Danio rerio: one gene and its partners. The protein of the gene in region 1 purifies or fractionates together with the protein of each later gene. This does not show direct contact. Links are inferred from orthologs where the notes say so. Each region holds a gene or a part of one and is shown in the gene's direction. Other genes may lie near its edges.

Evidence for each region.
Region 2: the proteins of stat3 (region 1) and rela purify together in Homo sapiens (affinity purification with western blotting; 5 studies listed by BioGRID and IntAct, with this or other methods). This does not show direct contact. The link is inferred for Danio rerio from reciprocal best matches to the Homo sapiens genes STAT3 and RELA.
Region 3: the proteins of stat3 (region 1) and ptpn2b purify together in Homo sapiens (affinity purification with western blotting; 7 studies listed by BioGRID). This does not show direct contact. The link is inferred for Danio rerio from reciprocal best matches to the Homo sapiens genes STAT3 and PTPN2.
Region 4: the proteins of stat3 (region 1) and trim59 purify together in Homo sapiens (affinity purification with western blotting; 4 studies listed by BioGRID). This does not show direct contact. The link is inferred for Danio rerio from reciprocal best matches to the Homo sapiens genes STAT3 and TRIM59.
Region 5: the proteins of stat3 (region 1) and hif1ab purify together in Homo sapiens (affinity purification with western blotting; 4 studies listed by BioGRID). This does not show direct contact. The link is inferred for Danio rerio from reciprocal best matches to the Homo sapiens genes STAT3 and HIF1A.
Region 6: the proteins of stat3 (region 1) and ptpn11b purify together in Homo sapiens (affinity purification with western blotting; 3 studies listed by BioGRID). This does not show direct contact. The link is inferred for Danio rerio from reciprocal best matches to the Homo sapiens genes STAT3 and PTPN11.

Annotation. Positions count from the first base shown.
Region 1 is NC_133178.1:15,703,926-15,708,041, forward strand, and holds the start of stat3 (signal transducer and activator of transcription 3), read left to right. Parts: upstream 1-1,316; 5' UTR 1,317-1,504; intron 1,505-4,116. UniProt on the Homo sapiens protein: Signal transducer and transcription activator that mediates cellular responses to interleukins, KITLG/SCF, LEP and other growth factors. Once activated, recruits coactivators, such as NCOA1 or MED1, to the promoter region of the target gene.
Region 2 is NC_133182.1:1,094,741-1,098,830, reverse strand, and holds the start of rela (transcription factor p65), read left to right. Parts: upstream 1-1,290; 5' UTR 1,291-1,342; coding exon 1,343-1,349; exon of another isoform or gene 1,350-1,571; intron 1,572-4,090. UniProt on the Homo sapiens protein: NF-kappa-B is a pleiotropic transcription factor present in almost all cell types and is the endpoint of a series of signal transduction events that are initiated by a vast array of stimuli related to many biological processes such as inflammation, immunity, differentiation, cell growth, tumorigenesis and apoptosis.
Region 3 is NC_133194.1:13,490,921-13,494,420, reverse strand, and holds part of ptpn2b (tyrosine-protein phosphatase non-receptor type 2), read left to right. Parts: intron 1-1,809; coding exon 1,810-1,908; intron 1,909-3,317; coding exon 3,318-3,455; intron 3,456-3,500. UniProt on the Homo sapiens protein: Non-receptor type tyrosine-specific phosphatase that dephosphorylates receptor protein tyrosine kinases including INSR, EGFR, CSF1R, PDGFR.
Region 4 is NC_133190.1:1,620,635-1,624,571, reverse strand, and holds the start of trim59 (tripartite motif-containing protein 59), read left to right. Parts: upstream 1-1,137; 5' UTR 1,138-1,153; coding exon of another isoform or gene 1,154-1,188; 5' UTR 1,189-1,248; coding exon 1,249-1,307; intron 1,308-3,937. UniProt on the Homo sapiens protein: E3 ubiquitin ligase involved in different processes such as development and immune response. Serves as a negative regulator for innate immune signaling pathways by suppressing RLR-induced activation of IRF3/7 and NF-kappa-B via interaction with adapter ECSIT.
Region 5 is NC_133195.1:22,873,867-22,877,366, reverse strand, and holds part of hif1ab (hypoxia inducible factor 1 subunit alpha b), read left to right. Parts: intron 1-258; coding exon 259-515; intron 516-2,940; coding exon 2,941-3,167; intron 3,168-3,281; coding exon 3,282-3,404; intron 3,405-3,500.
Region 6 is NC_133198.1:26,914,107-26,917,606, forward strand, and holds part of ptpn11b (tyrosine-protein phosphatase non-receptor type 11b), read left to right. Parts: intron 1-96; coding exon 97-213; intron 214-3,500. UniProt on the Homo sapiens protein: Acts downstream of various receptor and cytoplasmic protein tyrosine kinases to participate in the signal transduction from the cell surface to the nucleus. Positively regulates MAPK signal transduction pathway. Dephosphorylates GAB1, ARHGAP35 and EGFR.

The DNA of each region.
Region 1 (4,116 bases):
GGATCAAAAGATTAGCCAGAATATTGTAAAAAAAATAAAATAAAAAAAGCCGCTTGATTATAACAGAAAGTTAATTCGACATGGGTGTCCTTTGGGAATTTCAGAGGGGTTTTTATTACGATATCTGCGGTTAAAAATACAGTCGTATACCTGGAAGATCAATTTTTAAACTAAAAGTAACAATATAATTAAATTATTTTTTATTTTCTTCGGGAAAATCAGAGGGGAGTTTTATTTCAATATGTGTGGTCAAAAATACCATGGTAGCTGCACATATCAGTTTTGAAATAATAAAAATTATAATATAATAAAAAAAGCAAATAAAAAATAAACATATACACACAAACCTTTTAATCATAAATGCAAAAAGATGTGCAGCTATTGACTAAACCAGACGTCTTCATTTACAAAGCTATAGTCCAGCCAAGAAACTGTTTATTTGTTTGCTCAAAGTTTACAAAGTTATTTGTAAAGTCAAAGTTTCTAACATAGTTGACTTTTTAAACTTGATATTCTTAGAAATAAATAAGACATTATTTTACACTATACTTACTCTAACTTGATATGAAATGATGATTAAAACATGTTTTATTTTGTGTTCACACACTTAAACGTGCACAAAGTTACAAAATATATATATATATATATATATATATATATATATATATATATATATATATATATATATATATATATATATATATATTTCGTTATTATTCTATTTATTATGCTTTAAACAACAGATACATGATGATATACATGGTGATAGAAAGTAAATGATAACAACAATACATAACATAAATAAACAAAACAAACATAAAAAACAAAAGTATAAGTAATTAACTAACATTCTTACAAATACAAATAAGCAAGACATTTACATTAATCAAAAATATTGAAACTAGAGCACAGTTGGACAGTTTTAATGGCTTTTCAATTATCACTATGCTGAATAGGTGCACAAAGTTATATAAAGAGACGCATTGATGACGCCAAACGTCACGACAGCACACACTTCACATCCACTGAATTAAAAGTCCAGATGACGTAGGCGCTGCCAGTAATTCAGATGACTTCCAGCCGTGCTGTTCCAGAAGCTGGATTTCCCCCCGCTGTGCTGCGTATCACAACACGGTTTTACACGGGAGGAACCGGCAGCCGGAACAGCCTGCACAGCCAGAGCAACAAACACAGGCGGCCTCGAGCTGGCGCGCGCTTAGTCCCGCCTCTTCTGCGCCATTCGAGCTCAGCGATTGGACAGAATTCTAAACTCGCTCGCGACTGCGTCAGAGACATGTCAATCAAAGCGGAACCGCAAACGTGCAGCCCATTTTCGCACAGACCACCGTAGCTCGCGTGTTTGCAGTGTCAGAAAAGTTGGAAAAGCTCGTTTTACGATAGCATATCGTCTCTAAAACGCTTGTTTTTGTAGTCAATAACGTGTTGACTGCGCTTGTTTCCGTGGAGGACGATTTATCTGAAACCTTGAGCGACACATTAAGGGGTAAGTTGTCCAGCCACGTCGCTTTTTTAAAGGAAAACGCAGTTTGACGCAATTTTTGGGGATGTTTCTGTTGTGTACATTGCTTTCTGTTGTCAGGTGGTTCTGCTTGTGTTGATGTTTGAATTATGTTATAACGTTAAACCGCTAGATTGATTTCTCGTGACGGAAATAATGTACACATTGTTTCCACTTGGCTGTTAAATGAAGCTAAAAGATACTGTGACCTGACTAGACAACAGTTGATACTTGTTACATGTGTAACAAACAAACTCGTTTTAGTATGATGTCGATTCAGTAGACGTGACAGAAGTATTAAGAATCATTAAGTTTGCTTGAATGAATGTTTGTAGAGTTTATTTCTTCTTCACTTGATCTGTTGTAGTTGTTTTTTTCCTCAATGCAGATTTTGTTTGTTTGTGTCATTTTACGCTTATAGATGCCATTTCTTGTCATTGGAATCCATTCATCCTCTCAGAGTCGGTCAACAACGCTTTATCTGCATGATTGGCAGGGTATAATAGTGGAAAAGTGTATCAGATAGATGCTGGTGGAGCAAAAAAAAAAAAGACAATGAAATTGAGCAATTAAAAAGAGAGAGAAAAAAACATTGAAATGGAGCAAATAAAAAGAAAGAGACAAGTGTTAAAAAGGCATAATTCTCATAAGTCAATTTTACTGGCATTTATATTTACAATATTGCACCTCGTGATGAAGTACTTGCATACACTTGCAAAATAAGTACGTGTTCATAATAATAATAAATATCAACCAAAATTAATAGACAACAAGCTGTTTAGCAGTACTAGAACCACCTATAGTACAAAAAGTCTCTTGATTTCACTTCTCATTATTGTTTAATAATCTGGCTTGGATTTGCGCCACCGATTCAGCATAAAAAGCGCATTGTATGCCAATCTGGCAGCTTTCGTACTTGCATTGGTTGGATAGGTATCTTTTTTGTTGTTTTTTTTTTTTTGCCTCCACGGGTATTCCCCACCTCTGCCCCATGACGTCACTCTTCCAGTACATGGCGAGGGAATCCTCGAGTAAGAGGTGATGGAGACCGACCTGCGCGCGCGCTTTTGCTCGGCCACTGCAGTCTCGCTTCTGGCTTTCATGTCGCCTCGCCGAGTTTTGCTTTACTCGACAAATGAAACCAGTTTCACAGTTCCCACCGACGAGAGATGTGCACACGTTAGACACTGGTGCACTCTGATTGGCAGTTTTTCTCCGTATCTCAAGAGAGTGTCCTTAAAGGGACAGTTCACCTTAAAATTCTTCATTTACTAGTTTAAAGCCTGTTTAAGATTTCTTCAACTGTTGAACAAAAAAGAAAGATATTTTGAAGAATGCTTTTTGCTGGCACCCATTCTCTTCCATAGTAAAAAATACTGTGGATTTTAGGGGGTCGTAGCAACCAGCATTCTTCAAAATATCTTCTTTTGTTTCCAACAGATGAAAGAAACTCATCATGTTTTAAAACCACACGAGGGAGAGTAAATGATTACAGAGTGTTTGGGTATCCCTTTAATGTTTTTTTTTTTCAGAGGCAAAAATAATTTGGGGGTGTCAAGGTGGCGCAGTGTTTAGCATGATCGCCTAACAGCAAGAAGGTTGCTAGTTTGAGCCCCGGCTGGGTCAGTTGGCATTTCTGTTTGAAGTTTGCATCTTCTCCCCGTGTTTGTGTGGGTTTCCTCTGGGTGCTCCAGTTTCCCCCACAGTTCAAAGACATGCGCTATAGGTGAATTACATAAGCTAAATTGGCTGTAGTGAATAAGTGTGTATGAGTGCTTCCCAGTTTTGAGTTATGTCTGCAAGGGCATGTGCTGCGTAAAACATATGCTGGATAAGTTGTGGGTTCATTAAGCTGTGGTGACCCCTGATTAATAAAGGGACTAAGCTGAAAAGAAAATGAATGAATGAATAAAAAAAAATTTGCTATCAAACATTGATAAATAAAATTGCTATCATGCATTTTAATGATTTACAAAAGACACTTACTAAATTTGTCATTTACTATTACCTTAGATATTATTGGGGCTGCACAATATATCATTTCATCATTGATATCGCAAAGAGCTGACTGTAGTTTAAATAAATTGAGACCAAGAAATTATAATATTTGTAGCTTTATGATAGATTAATCGTATTAAATAGTTTATGGTGAATTTAATGGTCTTATTTTACATTTGATTATTTGATAATTTGTGTCTGAATATGGAACACAACTCAGAAAAAAAAGCATAAAGCTCTGTTTGTTTCAGTTTTATCTTTGCAGCGTTGTATTTAATTATGCTTGTGATTTGTTTATTGTATTTCATGAAGATATTTTAGAAGGAGTGTTTCTACTAAAAATCATCCCAATCAAACTAAAGTTATGAAGTATTTCCAATTTTAAGTCAGCTGACAAATTGTAATAAAATCTTAAAATCTGAAAAATCTGAAAATTGCTGAAAAACAAAATATCGCAATGTCAGGTTTTTTTTCCCAATTTTGTGCAGCCCTTTCATATACCTAAAAACCGTGTTTTAGAACAAAACTCATTAACAGGGTTTCTGCAGGGTCATAAAAACTATCTTACATCTCAAAATCCAAGTTTAAGGCCTTAAAAC
Region 2 (4,090 bases), on another chromosome or scaffold:
TAGCTGGATTAGCTTGTTGGGTGGTCATTATAACCACACTTTTTGATGTACCAAAAATATTTATTTTAGGGCTGTCTCTCATCCCTGTATGAACAGAGTAGGAGTCTGATTCGCATTGCCAGCAATACAGTTGAAGTCAAAATTATAAGCACCCTCCCTGCTGACAAATCCAGCCTAAACCAGTCTAGGCTGGTCGACCAGGCTGGTTTAAGAGGGGTTTTGGCCACTTCCAGGCTGGTTTCCACCCATTTCCAGCCAGGTCTTAGCTGCTCAGGCTGGGAGATGACCAGCTAAAACCAGCTTGACCAGCCTAGCCAAGCTGGGAGTCCAGCCAAAACCAGCTATATCCAGCTTAAACCAGGCTGGTCAAGCTGGTTTTTGCTGGATTTGGCTGGTCATTTTCCAGCCTGACCAGCTAAGATCAGGCTGGAAATGGCTGGAAACCAGCCTGGAAGTGGCCAAAACCCCTCTAAAACAACCTGGTAGACCAGCTAAAACCAGCCAACCAGCCTAGGCTGGTTTAAGCTGGATTTTTTAGCAGGGCTTTGCATCTGTTTTCTTTTTTAAATATTTCCCAGATGATGTTGAACAGATTCAGGAAATGTTCACAGTATGTCTGATAATATTTTATTCTTCTGGAGAAAGTCTGATTTGTTTACATGTCACATTAAGCTGTATAGAAGTGTCTTGAAGAATATCTAGTCAAATTCACTGTCATTATGATAAAGAGAAAACAAATCAGTTATTAGAGATGAGTTATTAAAGCTATATGATTAGAGATATGTTGGAGAAATCTGCTCTCTGTTACACAGAAATTGGGGGGAAAAAATAAATAGGGGGCGAATAATTCTGACTTCAACTGTATTTGACAAATTCTGGACCCTAGTCATTTAGGGCTGGGTCTTCTGAACCGCCCTGGCTACAGGCCTGGATAGTTTACTAGATAGTTGAATATAAGTTAGATGATTATGTCAGACTTTTCTTAGTGAAGAAGCCAAAAGTATTCTCATTATTTGTCACCAAATACAGTATATTATTCCAAAAACAGTGAATATGTAACAAGACATCTGAGTCCATATCTTCATTTGACATTGATTTTGGTCGACAAATAAGTTTGTATTGCTAAATACTGCCCATAAGCTAATCTACAGTGCGCGTGTGTTCTCAGCAGTCGTGTTGGTGATGATGAATCGCGTCATCCGGGTATTTCCGCCCACGGGAGCGCGCCTGCTGTAGTCCCGCGGAGGCGCGCGGAAGGAAAGTGTTGTCGCGGTGTGTCGTTTATTTTTCACCGTCGCCCGGAAACGTTAAAAAGTGACCGAGAGCTGTGGAGACCCGCGACATGGACGGTAAGTCGAGCTTTAATGCCGGGTTTCTGCATGTGAACGGCGCCAACGGGGGGTTTGCGGTGTCGCGCGGAAGGGAAAGTCCCGCCGCTAAACTTTTACTCTCGGTTTCGGCTGAGAATCGATCGGTCCCCTGTCTCCGGGGCTCAGGTCGGTAAACGGGTCACGAGAATCAAACACGACAACCATTACAAGGCTGCAGAGCTGACGTATCGCGGCCTACAGGTGTGTGTGTGTGTGTGTGTGTGTGTGTGTGTGTGTGTGTGTGTGTGTACACAAACAAACAAAAACACTTTCAAATACTTGTCAAAAAGTCCTCAGAGATCACGCGATACGCGGAAAGTGGCTTGTTGACAAGGTTACGTTAACTTATGTTACTTTTCCTGGTAACGTTAACTGCTAAGTTCTGTGTGGGTTGGTTAATGCTAGTTAGTAGCTAGTAAACTTCATCGCCTGTGTGAGCTAACGTTAACTGACGTAGCGAAAGTAAAGATGCACTAACGTGATATTTGTATTATGTGGCTGCTTGTTCATTGTGGACATCTGACGATAAACCTGTTTAGGGGTGTGTTGGCTAGTTCTGGTTATAAACTCATCTCCTTCATGGACTCACTGATTTAGCACAGGTAAAGCTACTCAAAGTATATCTATACTCTTTATTTGGTCACTTGTTCATTGTGAATGTCTGATGATAATACTCATGTTTAGAGTGGGTTGGTTAGTGCTAGATAACTAGTAGTCAATGAACGCCATTATTAACTCTTTGATTTAGCAAAAGTAAAGGTACTTTGTCACAATATTTATGTTGTTTGCCCACTGGTTTATTGTGAATGTCTGATAAGGAACATATTTTGGGGTGGGTTAGTGCTAGTTATGGCTAGTAGTCATAATCACCTTTGTGAACGCACTGATTTAGCGTGAGTAATGCTGCTTGTTTATTTGGCCACTTGTTCATTGTGAATGTCTGATGATAATACTCATGTTTAGAGTGGGTTGGTTAGTGCTAGATAACTAGTAGTCAATGAACTCTATTACGAACTCACTGATTTAGCAAAAGTAAAGATACTTTGTCACAATATTTATGTTGTTTGTTTGCCCTCTGGTTTATTGTGAATGTCTGATAATGAACATATTTAGGGGTGGGTTAGAGCTAGTTATGGCTAGTAGTCATAATTACCTTTGTGAACTCACTGATTTAGCGTGAGTAATGCTGCTTGTTTATTTAGCCACTTGTTCATTGTGTATATATGATAATAAACATGTATTAGTGTTGGGTTGTTTAATGCTAGCTAACTAGTAACCAAAGCCACCTTTTTGAACTGGTTTAGAGAAAGTAAAGCTACTCTATTACAATTTTTGTGCTGTTGCCACTGATTCATTGTGAATATCTGATGATAAACCTGTTTAGGGGTGGGTTGGTTAGTGCTAAAAAACTAGTAGCCACCTTAATCAACTCACTAATTTGGCAAATGTAAAGCTACTCTATCACAATAATGACCACAGGTTCATTGTGAATATTTGATAATAAACATGTATTAGTGTTGGGTTGGTTAGTGCTAGCTAACTAGTAACCAAAGGTACTTTTGTAAAGCTACTCTATTACAATATTTGTGTTGTTTATTTGGCCACTGATTCATTGTGAATATCTGATGATAAACATGTTTAGTTGTAGGTTAGTTGGTTTGTGGTAGCTAACTAGTAACCAAAGCCATGTTAGTGAACTGATTTAGAGAAAGTAAAGCTACTCCATTACAATATTTGTGTTTCATTGTGAATGTTTTATAATAATAATAATAATCATAATAATATTAATAATAAGCATGTTTGGTAATAGGTGGGTTGGTTCGTTCTAGTTAACCTGTTAAAGTCTCCTTATATAGAGTAAGTAATACTGCTCAAAATGTTGTTTGTTTGGCTGCTTGTTGATTGTGAATATCTGATAATAAACCTGTTTAGGGGTGGGTTGGTTAGTGCTAGAAAACTAGTAGTCAGTGTCGCCTTAATGATCTCATTGATTTAGCAAATGTATCACAATAATGGCCACAGGTTCATTGTGAATATCTGATAATAAACATGGGTTAGTTAGTACTAGTTATGGCTAGTAGTCAAAGTGTCCTTTGTGAACTCACTGATTTAGAGGATGTAATGCAGCTTGTTTATTTGGCCACTTGTTCATTGTGAATATCTGATAATAAACATGTATTAGTGTTGGGTTGGTTAGTCATAGCTAACTAGTAACCAAAGTTACATTTGTGAACTGATTGAGAGAAAGTAAAGCTGCTCTATTACAATATTTGTGTTGTTGTTAGTGGTAGGTTAGTTGATTAGTTCTAGTTAACTATAGGCATTGGTCGGTATAAGATTCTGGCGGTATAATAACCTTGGATAAAGATACCACAGTTTCATGGGATAGTGATTACTGCTCTAAAATATATTCTTTTTAAATGTCTGAGTAAAAAACTAAAAGTTTCCCTTTGAATACAATATATCTTAATTTGAGAAGTATTTAATATATTTTGGAGCAGTAAACATGTCAGGTTGAATAATTCAATGAGTCACTGACCTCTGCTGTCTTCATTCATTTATTCATTTTCTTGTCGGTTTAGTCCCTTTATTAATCCAGGGTCGCCACAGCGGAATGAACCGCCAACTTATCCAGCAAGTTTTTACGCAGCGGCCTCAACCCATCTCTGGGAAACATCCACACACATTCGCACACACACTCATACACTATGGGCAATTTA
Region 3 (3,500 bases), on another chromosome or scaffold:
ATTATATAACAAACTAATTTTGTAAGACTATTTAAATTTAGAACTATTTAAATTATACTAATTTAAAAAAAAACACATAAGCCAATAAAATAATTAAATTTTGTTGACAGTGGAGAATCATCATTTTACCAGCATTGCTTTGACAGCACAGTAGCGTACTGCAAACAGCAGGAACATGTATATATCATAGAAATGTCCTGTCATGAGAGATTCATCCTGATGAGAGATATACATGTACATGAGCGGATTATACAGTGCACAATATTAAACTTAACTTAATCTTAAACTTGACTGCACTTGTACAAGCTAATTGGTGGTTCACTCTGAATCACTCTTGTGTAGAGCAAGCCATTGAAATGAATAGGTTTCTGAGTGCTTTTTACATGTGGTGTGATTTAACTTGCTTCAAAATGCGCAGTGACTACAGCTGGGGGGAGAGTAAAATCAGTGCCCTGATCACTGCACAGTTTTTCGGCTCATATTTTTGGCAGTTTTTCTCTTTCAGCCAAAAATAATAATAATTCTGCATCCCTATGTGAGACTTCTGGTCTCATTCACTTCCATTGAATTTGATCATATCAAACAGCTCTTTATTATTCTGGTATTTTCCTATCGTATTTTCTTTTTAATGTATAGTCATAAACAGACTGGTTTGTAGGGCAAGCAGTTTATTTATTTACATTTAATTCCTAAGTAGATTTATTATAAGATTAGATTATTTCTAAATAGAATGTTGTAAAGATTTTACTAGTATCCACACAGTTTATTGCCTTTGCCTATATCTGTTATGATTATTGCGGAAGAATCTAATCTAATCACTAATTTGTGTGTATTGTACTATATAAACTGATTTTATTATATCCACATATTGAATAAAATATGTATTGAATATTTAATCCTAAATTATATATTTTTTTAAGTTTGCCAATGCCTGTTCAATTATTATTATTAAGGAAACTATTGTCACTGTATGGGTTTGTTCACTGTGGTATTACTTTTACTTCTGCAGTTCACTTCAGTTAAATCTTACATGTTCTTTTAAATGCTCTGCCAAAACTTGAGAAATAATTTGAGATATTTCATGCTGTTTTGCATGCAGAAATCATATGAATGTTTGACTAACACCTTTACACTAATGCTAATGCTAGCTGTATGAATACAAATATGAAGAGTCAAGAAAGAAAACAGTCATAGGACTTGTTTTTAGTGTTAGAAAGGTTTTGTTTTGATGTTGCGACTAATTTGCCTCAAGCAGGCACTTTTCTTGTAAAGATATTTTCAGTAGACTAACCTACAGGGAAAGCTGTGCTCAGACACACGCAAACGATTTTGCAAACCTTAATATTAATCTTAATAAAACCTTATTGTAACCCTTCTGTTCCACAACCTTTGCTTTCCTTAATTTCAGCACTGACAGTTATTTTATGCTGATGTTACTATAGAACGCTGTAGGCAGGTGGCAGGTTTACACCTCTGATACAAAGTTGTGTGGGTAGCATACAGAAGCTCACAAATACATTAGTCAGCCATATGAAACATGGCTTTGGTTTGATCTTTATTTTTAACAAATGTGTAGGTGTGTCAGACTTTGTGGTGTTGATTTTGCATAGCATTTGTAGAGAAGTGTAAGACTACATGTTTATGAAATCAACTAGGGTTCACTCTGTGAACGGTAAACTAATCTGCCTGAAGAATTAGGCTGGTTTTGGGTTCACATTTCTTGGGAGCTGTTACATAAGTCAGATTCTTTTGAGCATTGCGATCAAACCCTACTTATTGTCAAACTGGACTGTGTTTCTTTATTGTCAGGGTCCTCTGAGAAACACCTGTGGTCACTTTTGGCTGATGATCTGGGAACAGAAGACCAAAGCAGTCATCATGCTTAATAGAGTAATAGAGAAAGGCTCGGTAAGAATAGATCCTTTTCTATTTAAAAGCACTACTCTAAGATTGTTTAGCCTCCATGCTTTTAAAACAAACACAAAGTCTTTCTCTAAGTATGTATTACAGAGCTCCATAGAGTCTCTGCAGGTATATGGGAGTATGTTTCAAGTAGAACCACATGAAGGAATAATAGAGGTCTAGAACATGTAGTGTTATTGTTGGCTGAAACTATAGCATTTATCAGAAAATCAGAAAGTAATATAAATATTTTTAATGGTGTTTTTAAAAAGTGGTTAAAAACAAAACAGCAGTGTTTGCACAAATAGTCTACTGTTAGTTTGTTGGATCATGTCGTCTTTGCTTTGCCTTCAGTAATTTAATGTGAAGAATTATAATGTTGTGTATATTTATTTATTATATTTCCATTTTGTCAAGCCTCCTGTGGACAGGTGTTGAGAATTAGCAAGTTTGCTAAAACACTTAAACAAATGCATTTGGTTGTCCAGTGTAATTGTGATGTCCATGTCAAATAAATAAATAAATAAAAATTATAGAAAACTAACTGAAATAAAATAAGTAAAATTGAAAATCTATTTTTTATACAAAAGCACACAACAATGCTGTTTAAAAAAAAAAAAAAAAAAATTATATATATATATATATATATATATATATATATATATATATATATATATATATATATATATATATATATATATATATTCAGGTAAAAGCAAATTAAAATAAATTATGCAAGAACTGTATTTAAGTATGATATTGAAACATTTGAGACTATTGTCTTAATATTAAGCCACAAAAGTACTGTTTAATGTGACTGTTCACCCAAAAATGAAAATTGTCAGTATTTACTTTCTCTTTACTTGTTCCAAACCTTTCTGAGTTTCTTTGTTTTGTTGAACACAAAAGAAGTTATTCTGAAGTACATTGGAAACCGGTAACCATTGACTTCCATGGTATTTGTTTTTCCTATTATGGTTATCCACGATTTTCAATTTTCAACAGAACAAAGAAACACATAAAGGTTTAAAACCTTTATAAAAAGGGAGTGAATAGTGAGGCAGTTTTCATTTTTGAGTGAACTATTCTAAAACTATTTTAGAAAAATTACATTTCATCAGGCCCTACATTAAACTGAGCATTTTGTTCAGTATCTCAGAAAGCAATATATTTTCTTTATATATAGAGGTATTTACTGTAAACAGCAAGTCTATATTAGGCTTTAAGAACAAAAAGTTGTTTAAAGAAAGCTATAACTAACACACATCTTTCATTCAGCGTTAATCCAAGTGTTTTGCTTGCTTTACTTATTTAATTGCATGTAATAATTTACTTTGGAATATTAGTCATCATATTTCAAATGATTAAACATTTGAGGCAGTGTTATTAATCTCTTTCTAAATTTTGTTATGAAGGAAAAGTGTGCACAATATTGGCCGACACAAGAAGAGAGAGAGATGTCTTTTCGTGACACGCGTTTTGTGGTAACACTAGTGTCAGAAGACGTGAAGTCATATTATACCACCAGAGTGCTGGAACTCCAGAACGCAAATGTAAGTCCCTCATTTTGACTATTGAAAATCACAATGTTGACAATA
Region 4 (3,937 bases), on another chromosome or scaffold:
CAATTTATATTTGTATATAGTGTTAATAAATACTATTAACAATAAGCAAAAGTGTTTACAATTTCACAAATACTGCAATCGAGAAGGGCGAATGGGGAGTGTTGTTTATTGCCATTCAATATAACAGACTGATCAGCTTTCTATCAGTCATCATAGATGATCCGTCATTAATTATGAACTGTCGGAGTCTATAGCAGATACTCGATTGCTGTATGTCTTGATTTAAATTGGACAGGTTTGATTTATATAATGGATTCATTTATAATAAGGGAAATAATAGCAAGTTAATATGCTATTGTTAATAATAAATTCAATATGTAATAAAAATAATACATTAAATATGTAATAAAAATAATACATGAAACATTTTATATGTAATAAAAATCTTTCTACGTGTAACAAATGCATAACACTATTAATATTTCACTCAAGCCATTTAATAGTATTTTATTTTGTCTAATATCGTTTTTATTAATGATTTCCCACATTAAATACTATAGTAATTCATTGTAAGCAACATATTATTTTTAAACCATTAATTACTGGTCATTTGTTGTACTTATAGTTGCAACAAATTTACAATTACAAACAAATCAACTGTTAATAATTAATTAAAATTATATATATATATATAGGTGAGACGAGTGCACGTTGCAGAGCCCGGCAAAATGTTCAATTCTGGCGTCAACGGGTGTCATGAACGGGTGTGGCCAGTGTTGGATATCTGCAATTTAATCAATCGTGGCCTTTGATTTTATTTACTGTTGAGAAACCTAATGAAAGCGGTGCATTTTCACGGCAGGGGTGCGTTTCTCGACACCTGTTTGGCGCGTGTTCTGGCAGCCCTGTTTTAACTGTTGTGAACTGCAGGTGTCGCCCGTGTGCCGTGATTCAACCGATTCCAGTCAATTAATCATTTTATGAAGCTTTAAACTCTTCCCTTTCCTACCATTTCGGTTGAGTCACTTACCTCGGAAACTTTTTCGAGATTATAAACTCAAATACAGCGGACTGATCACTGTTCATCTGAGTTTTCAGGGCGAATTTCAACCACAACTTCCCACCAATCACATTTTCCGTCTCAAGACGCAGCGTGTTGCATTCAAGACGTAAAATCAAGAGATGTGATTGGTGGGAAGTTGAGTTTGTGCGCATGCGTGGGAAGTGTTTGTATTTCGGTTTGACTCGGTAAGTTTGCGCTTGTTTGTGTTTAATAAACATTAACACGCTAGAGTTAACATCTGTTTCATGTCCTCTGATTATCATATTTTACAGGCAGTGAAGCGGCTCAACAACTGTTGCTGGAGGTAGTTTTAGTGATGTCGTCTGAACTTTTCATACTTGTTATTACGTGTGTAAATGCACTTTTACAGGCGCTAGGACACATTTCTCAATAGTTGGGACACTTTTGCTAAACTCTTGACAGAGTGAAGCACAACAGAAGTCTCAGTGGGCTAAACTGAGGATCTATCCTCATAGTTTTGGCACAAACTGCATTCAATGCCCATATCTCACACAGACACAACTGACAAAACTCTGTGTACTTACAGGACATTTTGCACATGCTTATACTGTTTTCAGAACTGATGTTCAAAACAATAACATCATGCAAAACTGAATAAGACAACAAAATTCAACAGAAACATTTTATCGAGACACATTTCACATCTAGAAATGCAGTTTAACCAGCCAGATTAGCATAACTATTGTATATTATATTATATATATATATATATATATATATATATATATATATATATATATATATATATATATATATATATATATATATATATATTATCATATTATATTATACTATTGTCTCTATATCAGTGGATGGTGTGTACACAAATACTTGTATTTTGGACCCTGCTGAAAAATCCAGCTTAAACCAGCCTAGGATGGTTGGCTGGTTTTAGCTAGTTGAGCCTGGTTTTAGAGGGGTTTTGATCATTTCCAGGCTGGTTTCCAGCCATTTCCAGTCTAGTTTTAGCTGGTCAGGCTGGGAAATGACCAGATAAAACCAGCTTGACCAGCTTAGCCAAAACCAGCTATGTCCAGCTTAAACCAGGATGGTCAAGTTGGTTTTAGCTGGTCATTTTCCAACCTGACCAGCTAAGACCAGGCTAGAAACCAGCCTGGATGTGGCCAAAGCCCCTCTAAAACCAGCCAACCATCCTATGCTGGTTTAAGCTGGATTTTTTAGCAGGGGAATTGCTTAAAATAAAATACAAATAAATAAACAACTTAAAATATTCTGCATCATGTCTGATTCATTCCAGCAACATATATTGCAGTTATGAACTGAGATGTGTCCTTGTTTTACACCAGAACACTCAGTGTAATGCTACACATTGTTGTTAGTGTGTTTAGCTTATTGTTTTGTGGGTGACAGAGTGTGTTTGTGGGCTGTCCTCCTTTGCTGGTGTTCTGGAGGAATGAGTTTATTTGAGAGCTGAATACAGTGTTTTGGTAGTCGTGGAGCGTTTTGAATGTGAAATGAACTGCTTTGCCAAGCTGAAAGTCGGTCTGGAGAATTGTGTGAAGAGTTTTGCAGAAGTGACCCAAGTATTGAGAAATGTGTCCTAGCGTCTGTAAAAACTGTCAACATGCTTTACTTCATTTATGCATCAAGATTGTCTTTATTAATATTCATATGCATTATAATGGAAAAATAAGCCCTGTGTGAGTAGAGAGTGGGGATCGTGAACACTTTCCTTAAGTACATTATCATGGCGGGTTTATTTTAGGTAGTCGATTTTATATGAAGACATTTTAATTCTCCCACAGTTGAACAATTTATTGTTTATATATAAATGTCATGCAAATGAGTCTTCAGTTCTGTCTCCACAATCACTATAGCCTTAGTTTTATTAGCATTATGCATTTTTCATCACTTCTCCAAATAATTCTGAAATCTATTGGTTTTCTTCAAAAAATTGCCAAAAAGATTTGAATTATTTTTTAAAAGCACCGTTTTAGGTGAATGCAGTTTAATTAAATTGTAATTTAATGACATTTACTAGACACTTGTAATTAAAAAAGCTGCTAAGACTTGGTTTCCTTTAAGTTTTGCATACGGATGGGAATGTTGTTAAAAAGTGTTGTTTATTGCTGCTCAGAAACCCAAAGAAAGAAATAAACTGTTTGTTTTTATTTTGAAGTAAAAATAAGTGAAAAGTGTTTATTTAAACATTTAAACAAATAATTTTACACTGAAAACAAATGACAGAACAATGCATAAATACATAAAAAGAGTCATTTTAAACAAAAGTTTTTGTCTAACGTAAATCTAAGCATCATATCATCCAAGTATTTCCCTTTTAAAGACAAAAAAAATCTAGTCAAAGGCTGCTGATCCTGTCTGAACGGCACTTTTGATCAACTATTTTACAAACATGTTTGGTATTTTCATTTATTTTTCATACAAAGTATACAGCTTATCAGTGCAGTTCTTGTCATGTGACTCTCAGAACGCAAAATTCATGATATTGTGAACGGCCCTAAATTAATAGCCTTCGCCATAGATTAAGTCAGCCTTTAATCCAGTGTGCGTATGGTGTACAAGTTTGAAACTTTATACAAATGCACAGTTGGCGTAAAAGTTGTTGCAGCAGTTTTGTTACGTGCAGAAATGTGATGTTGAGAAGCCTTACGATTAATTTACCATGGTGAAATCTGTTAATCGTTGCATCCCTAATTTAAGTACCATTCATAGGCATTGACAGGGAAAGCTGTCCGCAGACATAACATGCACTCCAGTATACATTTATTATTGTTAAATTTGGCGAGGCAGTGGCGCAGTAGGTAGTGCTGTCGCCTCACAGCAAGAAAGTCGCTGGTTTGAACCTCGGTTTAGTTTCTGTGTGGAGTTTGCATGTTCTCCCTGTGTTCGCGTGGGTTTCCTCCACAGTCCAAAGACATGTGGTACAGGTGA
Region 5 (3,500 bases), on another chromosome or scaffold:
TAAAAACATACAAATGTTAAACTTTTTGTACCTTTAAAGTTCAAATTAGCAATGACTTTACAAATCATGTATTTGAAAACTCCTGTGGTTCCTGGTCAACTATAATCCTAATTTGACATTGCAGGTCCTGCAATAGAACTATTGTGGATTCACTTGTGATATTGATTCTGAAATGATATATTGTGCGTTTCTATGTAAAATGTATGCATAAATGCTAATTAACTCATATTTTCAACTTTACTACTCTGTCTTATCCAGTGGCATTGTAGAGGGGGATGTAGTCCTGTCCTTGCAGCAGACCGTGACTGAGCCCAAGGCTGTTGAGAAAGAAAGTGAGGAGACTGAGGAAAAGACCTCTGAATTGGATATTCTCAAGCTCTTCAAGCCAGAAAGCCTCAATTGCTCATTGGAAAGCTCTACACTTTATAATAAGCTGAAAGAGGAGCCAGAGGCCCTCACTGTGTTGGCACCTGCAGCAGGCGACGCCATTATCTCTCTGGACTTCAACAACTCAGGTAATTCTTGCTGGATGGGTACATTTTTTCAGTAATTTGAGAGTAACTGGAAGCCACCTAAATTCATTCAGTTTCAATGAGAGCTTATTAAAAGATCCATGAGCAAAGATGCACATATCTTTTTATATATTCACATCTAGATTAGTCTTAAGGGACATTCCTGCAATGTTTATTAACACTTCTAGTCTATAGTTTTAATTTTTTACAGTTAAAGTGAACTCTGTGAAATTAGCCCCAATATTGATAAAGAAACCTTAAAATTTCTAACTGGTGGAATCAAGTTGTTTATACCCACTGTAGAATGGGTCAATCAAAGATGACACGCAGTTTTTTAGTACAATTATAGATACTCCCAGTATGTTTTTCACCTGTAGGAGTAGATCCTCCAATCTGTTGTCTTTGCAAAAGCACTTTATCTGTGAAGCATGTTCTCTCTCAACACAGTTTGTGTTGGCTTTAATTCTTTGAGACATTTTTTTATTTAGTTCCACTATGCTACTTTTGAATACATTTTTATCACTGTTAAACCGAATATGGTTTAAGAGATTTTAGCAATAAATGAAAAAATACTTAAGCTTTACTGCAGTCAGTTGATATTTTCTCGCCATGAAAATAACCAAAGAACCTGGCATGGCATTAAACATAAACAAACCTTTAAAGTGTAATTTGGGGGATGTATGAACAGGGATGTATGCTTTTAGAGTTTAACAGGATTCTTTGGAAGTCATTTCTAAGATGCAGATTTTCGCTCAAGAAATATTTATTGTAGTCATTGTTGAAAATTGTAATGTTTTAATGAGTAGAAAGTTCAAATGCACGTCTATTTAGAGAATAAATTTCTGTTGCAACGTAAGAGACTTCACTGACTATGTTTACATGGACATCAGTAATCGAATTATTTGCCTTAATCTACAATAATAAGATAAAGGCGTTTACATGAGTTGCTTTTTGAAAGTTTCTTTCATGATCACATTTTACATGTTATAGCACATACTTAGATTACCGTCATTGCGTCACCGCATTATCCGCATTTCCTCCGAAGTTTCATGTAATTTCGGGTGTTTTATTGTTAATTTGTCAACTTTAACTGCGGTTTGGCACTTTCACTTTCATTCGTGCATGCCCCCGATGACAAACGAGATGTTGGATGCAACTATGAACTGCTGGAAGAGTTGTTGTAATGGAAGTTCATACCGCATGCTGAATGGAAGAAAAAAATGTTTGTTTCTTTATTGAATGATGGAAACTAGTATCATTTGACTTAAACGGTATTTATTTTCCTACAATGTAAGTCAGTAGCTATGCTTCGATCCACCTATTTAAAAAAAAAAAAAAAAAAAACGATTGATGGAAACGCCACGATGCGCATACATTTTGAAAATGCGCATGAACTTATGCGCTTAACTGAGTAGGATAAACTTGTTATTCGATAAGAAAAGAAGTGTAAACTACGATGAAAACACTTTTACCGCACAAATTTCATTATGAGCATTAAAAATGGTCATGTGATTCTGTTATAAGAGATCATGTGATGAAAATGTTTGTAAATGGACAAACCAGCTGGCTGAGCACAATATAAAACAGCTGAAATGTTGTTTTGGTCATTCTAAATTGCCTTACCGTTTAAGTATTAGTGTTATTATATTATTAATGACCTCCAGAATCAAGAGCGTCTGTGCTTCGTGTCTCACACCTTCAAACGCCACTGCGCATTCATTGCGTGTCAGGATTGCCTTCTAAGGTGCAAATCATTTATTAGATGAAGAGAAGATTGACACAGCTTCTTCTACTCCAGCAAGTTCGTTTTTTTTTTTGGTTGATATTTGGTGCCAGTTAATCAGGAAATGACTATTTTGTTCGCTTTGATGGAAACGCTGCTTTATACACACATTTTATGCGATAATCTAGGTTTGTTACATAGCTAATGGCTACCAACTTCCTATACTCTGCTAAAGTCATCTTTTATGTTTAACAGAATTTTGCATTGAATTTGGATGTAATCTACTCATGTGAATACTTCAACTTGCAATTGGTGTGAACTCTGTATTACTGACCATAAACATTTCAAGAGTGTGTATCTTTAGAGCAGTGTTTCTCAACCACATTCCTGGTAGACCACCAGCTCTGCACATTTTCCCTGAGACTGAAAGGCCTATAATGGGTGTGACAGACAATGTAGATAACCAAAACATGCAGTGTTGGTGGTCCTCCAGGCACATAGTTGAGAAACACTGCTTTAGAGGATTAAATGCAATCCCCTGGCAGCTTTTTATCTTATGAAGACTAACAACTCTTGTCATTCACTAATCATCTGAGATTACAGGAAATGTGCTTTCATAATTTTACTGAAGTAAATCTAATATTAAATACACACAGTTCCTTGGTGGTCTACCAATAATAATTACCGGTATCCATTTCCCTCCAGATTCTGACATACAGCTGCTGAAGGAGGTGCCCCTCTACAATGATGTCATGCTGCCTTCCAGCAGTGAGAAGCTGCCACTCAGCCTATCTCCTCTCACACCCAGCGACTCCATCCCAGCTCTGACCAAACTAGAGACTGGAGGAGAGGACTTCCCTTTCAGCTCTGCCTCTGATCGTGTGCCAGACCCCACAAACACACCCTCCACATCTGGACTCGGCTCTTCGGGGGTAAACACTTATTAAACGCTTGCTATTCTTGGTCATTTAACAACAATTGCTCCCTTGTAATGGTTAATGAGATACTGTCACTGACTTTAGGTTGTTTTTTTTTGTCAATCTTAGCCCAACAGCCCCATGGATTACGGTTTCCCAGTGGAACCAGACATCAGTTCTGAATTTAAACTCGACCTGGTTGAGAAACTGTTTGCTATTGATACCGAAGCAAAGACACCTTTTTCCACCCAGGTAACTTTTTATTTAAGATTTTAACTACATATTGTTTGTCTCACTCTCTCCCAAAATCAAATTCTAATTCAAATGAGCTTTATTGGCATGACTTGT
Region 6 (3,500 bases), on another chromosome or scaffold:
AACAGGGTAACATTTCACTATTTCCTTAAGGAAAAAAAAGAAGATTAAAATAAATGTCTATTTAAAAAAAAAAAATTTTTTTATGTCTTTTACCAGGATGGAAAATATGATGTAGGAGGAGGGGAGAGGTTTGACACCTTAGCAGATTTAGTAGAGCATTATAAGAAAAACCCCATGGTCGAGAAGAGTGGAATTGTTGTGCACCTTAAACAGGTGAGTAAATCAAACCAAGCCTGAAAGAAACACATTTTTCCTTCAGACAAGCAATTACAGTAGCTGCAAATGCAAAACAAGTGCCTTTCAAAGATCTGGGTCTGCAATTTATTATTATTTTTTAAAGAACCATTACTTATATTTATGCACTAAATTGACAAAGTGACCAAGAAATGTATAATTTTAAAAAATGTTTCTATATCAATCAATTTTATATTTAGTTTGAAATGAATCATGAAAAAAAGTTCACAAATTCTTCAAGAAAATATTCATTGTTTTCAACTTTGATAATATTAAGAAATGCAGTGGTGGAAAGAGTACTGAAAAAAAATCATACTTAGATAAATTAAAGTAGTGCAAGTAGATGTAGTGCAAGTAGAGATAAAGTATCTGTTGTAAATATTACTCTAAGTATGAGTAAAAAGTAGCCCTTTTAAAAGTACTCGAGTAGTGAGTACCATTTAATTTGTGGATGTGTGTAAACGTAATATTCTGTAGTGCATTTAGTTATTGCCCAGCAGGCACAGAACGTCATAAGACGTTAATATTAGGTTAGATTTAGATTGTGACCTAAATTTAATGGTTAGCCAGCATCTAGGAACGTTATTTTGAAGTCCAAGGATGAATGACGTCAAATGACGTTGATATTTGATTGATTTTAGGGTTTAGGAAGTGAACAAAAACATTGAGCCAACAACTTAAAGGGGTGGTCCACTATGATATCATATTTTAAACTTTAGTTGATGTGTAATGTAGCTGTGTGAATATAAACAACATCTCTGAATGTAAAAAGTTCTCAATTTAATGCAAAGGGAGACCTTGATTTTTACGGAGTTAAGCCTACAATGAACAAATTTTGGGGACTACAAAAAATACTTCCACCCCCTGTGAGATCACAAAGGTTCGTTTACTGTGCATACAAACTGCGCAGGTAAGGCGCAAAAGCAGAAAATCTCCTCAAAGCAGAAGCTGTGAGCTACAACCTGTAAGTGTTTTTATTTGTTAAAATTGATCATGACATGTACAGTGTATAGCGTTAACGGTACGCTGTAGCAACGATGTAAACAATGCGAAATGCTGCTTTGCGGGCAAACGATTTAGCTACAAATTCATATTTATCAGTCAAACTGCTGTAAACACACACACACACTCCACCAGCACGTTCGTGACTCTTATGTGTGTGCGCGACTTTGCATTGATTGTCTTCAGGCAGTTTTTCCATGTTTTTCACATCTCAGATAATGAAGTCGCAAAAGATATGTAGATGATTCATATTACTTACACCTGCATATTCCGGATATATATGAAAGCCGTCTTGTAAAGCATAGAGTTAAAAAAATACAGGTTAGCTTACCTGACTCGTGGTAGCAGCAGAATAATAAATCAAGGCTCACACATCTTGTGCTTTATTCTTCTGTCACGATATATTATAGAAAATAACTTAATCCGAGCATCAGAGAAAAAGAAAAAAAAACTCCCGTGCACATGCGCTTGTTACAGAAAGTTCACACATTCACTCACACTCACACACACATAGACGCAGACAACATTCACTCACACACACACACACACACACATAGACACACACAAAGACAAGGTCTCTTTAAGGAGCTGCACCCAATTTTCACTCGTTACAGACACTTGTCAGATTTTATTTTAGTGAGCAGGCAGGTGGTTGAATGATTGTTTACACAGCAGAAAAGCGCATGCTTTCATGGGCGTGACGTGGAGCCAATCCGCGAATAGCAGCACATTATGACGATGACCAATCAGAGTCACTTAAGGGCAGGCCTTTCAGAGGAACTAGGAAATTTGACAGTCATTTTCATGTTAGCTGAGTAGCTGTGTATAATCAAAGTGAGATATATGAAAAAATAACGCGATTTCCTTCAAGTGAAACATGAGCACACATTGCTTTGCATCTTATAAACACAATTAAGCCTTAAAATTACATTCTGGACCACCCCTTAAAACTAGCTTCATATTGACGTCAAATACTGACATTTATTCATCAGGTATGGCAACCAAATCCAACATCTGATAGACGTCATAGTGGTAACGTCCACACAACGTCAAACTGTAACTGTCAGGGTTCTGCCACTTTGGTCTTGTAAATTCTTGTTTTGGTGGCAGAGCTCTGACACTTCTCATGTCGGGTCCTGTTTCTGTCTCTGTGTGAGCGCGCGCCGTCATGGGTGTACGTAGAGTGTGCGCGTTCCTGCTTGACGCGGCCGCGCGCGCGCTCTGCGTCACTCAGACGCGTGCGCTCTTGTACTCGTGTTTGTGTTTTCGTTTGTCAGCAGCGTGGTGTTTCATTCCCAGCGTCTCAGTCTTGTTGGTTTCGGTTTTGGTCGGCGCTGGGATGAAGCATGCACGCTGCGTGTGTGTGCGCGCACGGTGAGTGCTTTCATTCATCGTGTGCTCGTGTCTTGCGTCTTTTGTCAAAGCACGTGGCTCGGTGTTTACATTGTGGTCACGTGCTTTTGTCGTGTGCTTCAGTGTTGTGTTGTGTGAGCGCATGGCTTGTATTGTCTCTCTGTGTCATGCGCTCTCCCGTCTATTGTCTTGTCCCACCCACCTTGTTACCTTGTTTGTAATTATTATTTTCACCTGTCCGCCTGTCTGTTTATTGGTTTGTCTTTCCTATTTATTCTCCTAGTGTGCTCTGTTCCGTGCTGGTCCGTTATTGATTGTTCCCTTCTCTGTTGTATCTGCTGATTTCTAGTCTACAACAGTGGTTTAATGTATTGTCTTGTCAAGTTCCAGACCTTGTCTAGTTGAGTGTGTAATATGTTGTGTTTTTCCCCACATGGGGAGATTTGAGTTTTGTTTTTGTTTTATTTTTCATTAAACTCTTCATTCCCTGCATTTGGGTCCTCGCCTCCTCTTCATCACCCCCATACCGTGACAGTAACATCATTTGGCGTTGATATTTGGTTGATTTTTGGTTGTATGTTGGACATTGGCATCGGTCTGACTTTGAGTTCTGACGTCAACCCGATTTTCAATTCCAAACAAAATGTAACGTCTCCACGACGTTGGGGTACAACGTCAATCTAATGTCATTTTGACGTCTTGTGCCAGCTGGGTGTTTAAGGCTATTTCGATCATCATACAGTAAACATCTGTCATCTTCTCATCAGTGACATGCATCTAAACAGTCTCTGGGTCAATGCGTGTAAAGATTTTGGACATCTTCTTGGACCCTTTTGATGCTTGCAAACAGTTTGCTGCAATTATAAATCGCCCATGTCTTGAGGTAGTTTGTTATGATGCAATTTACCTTT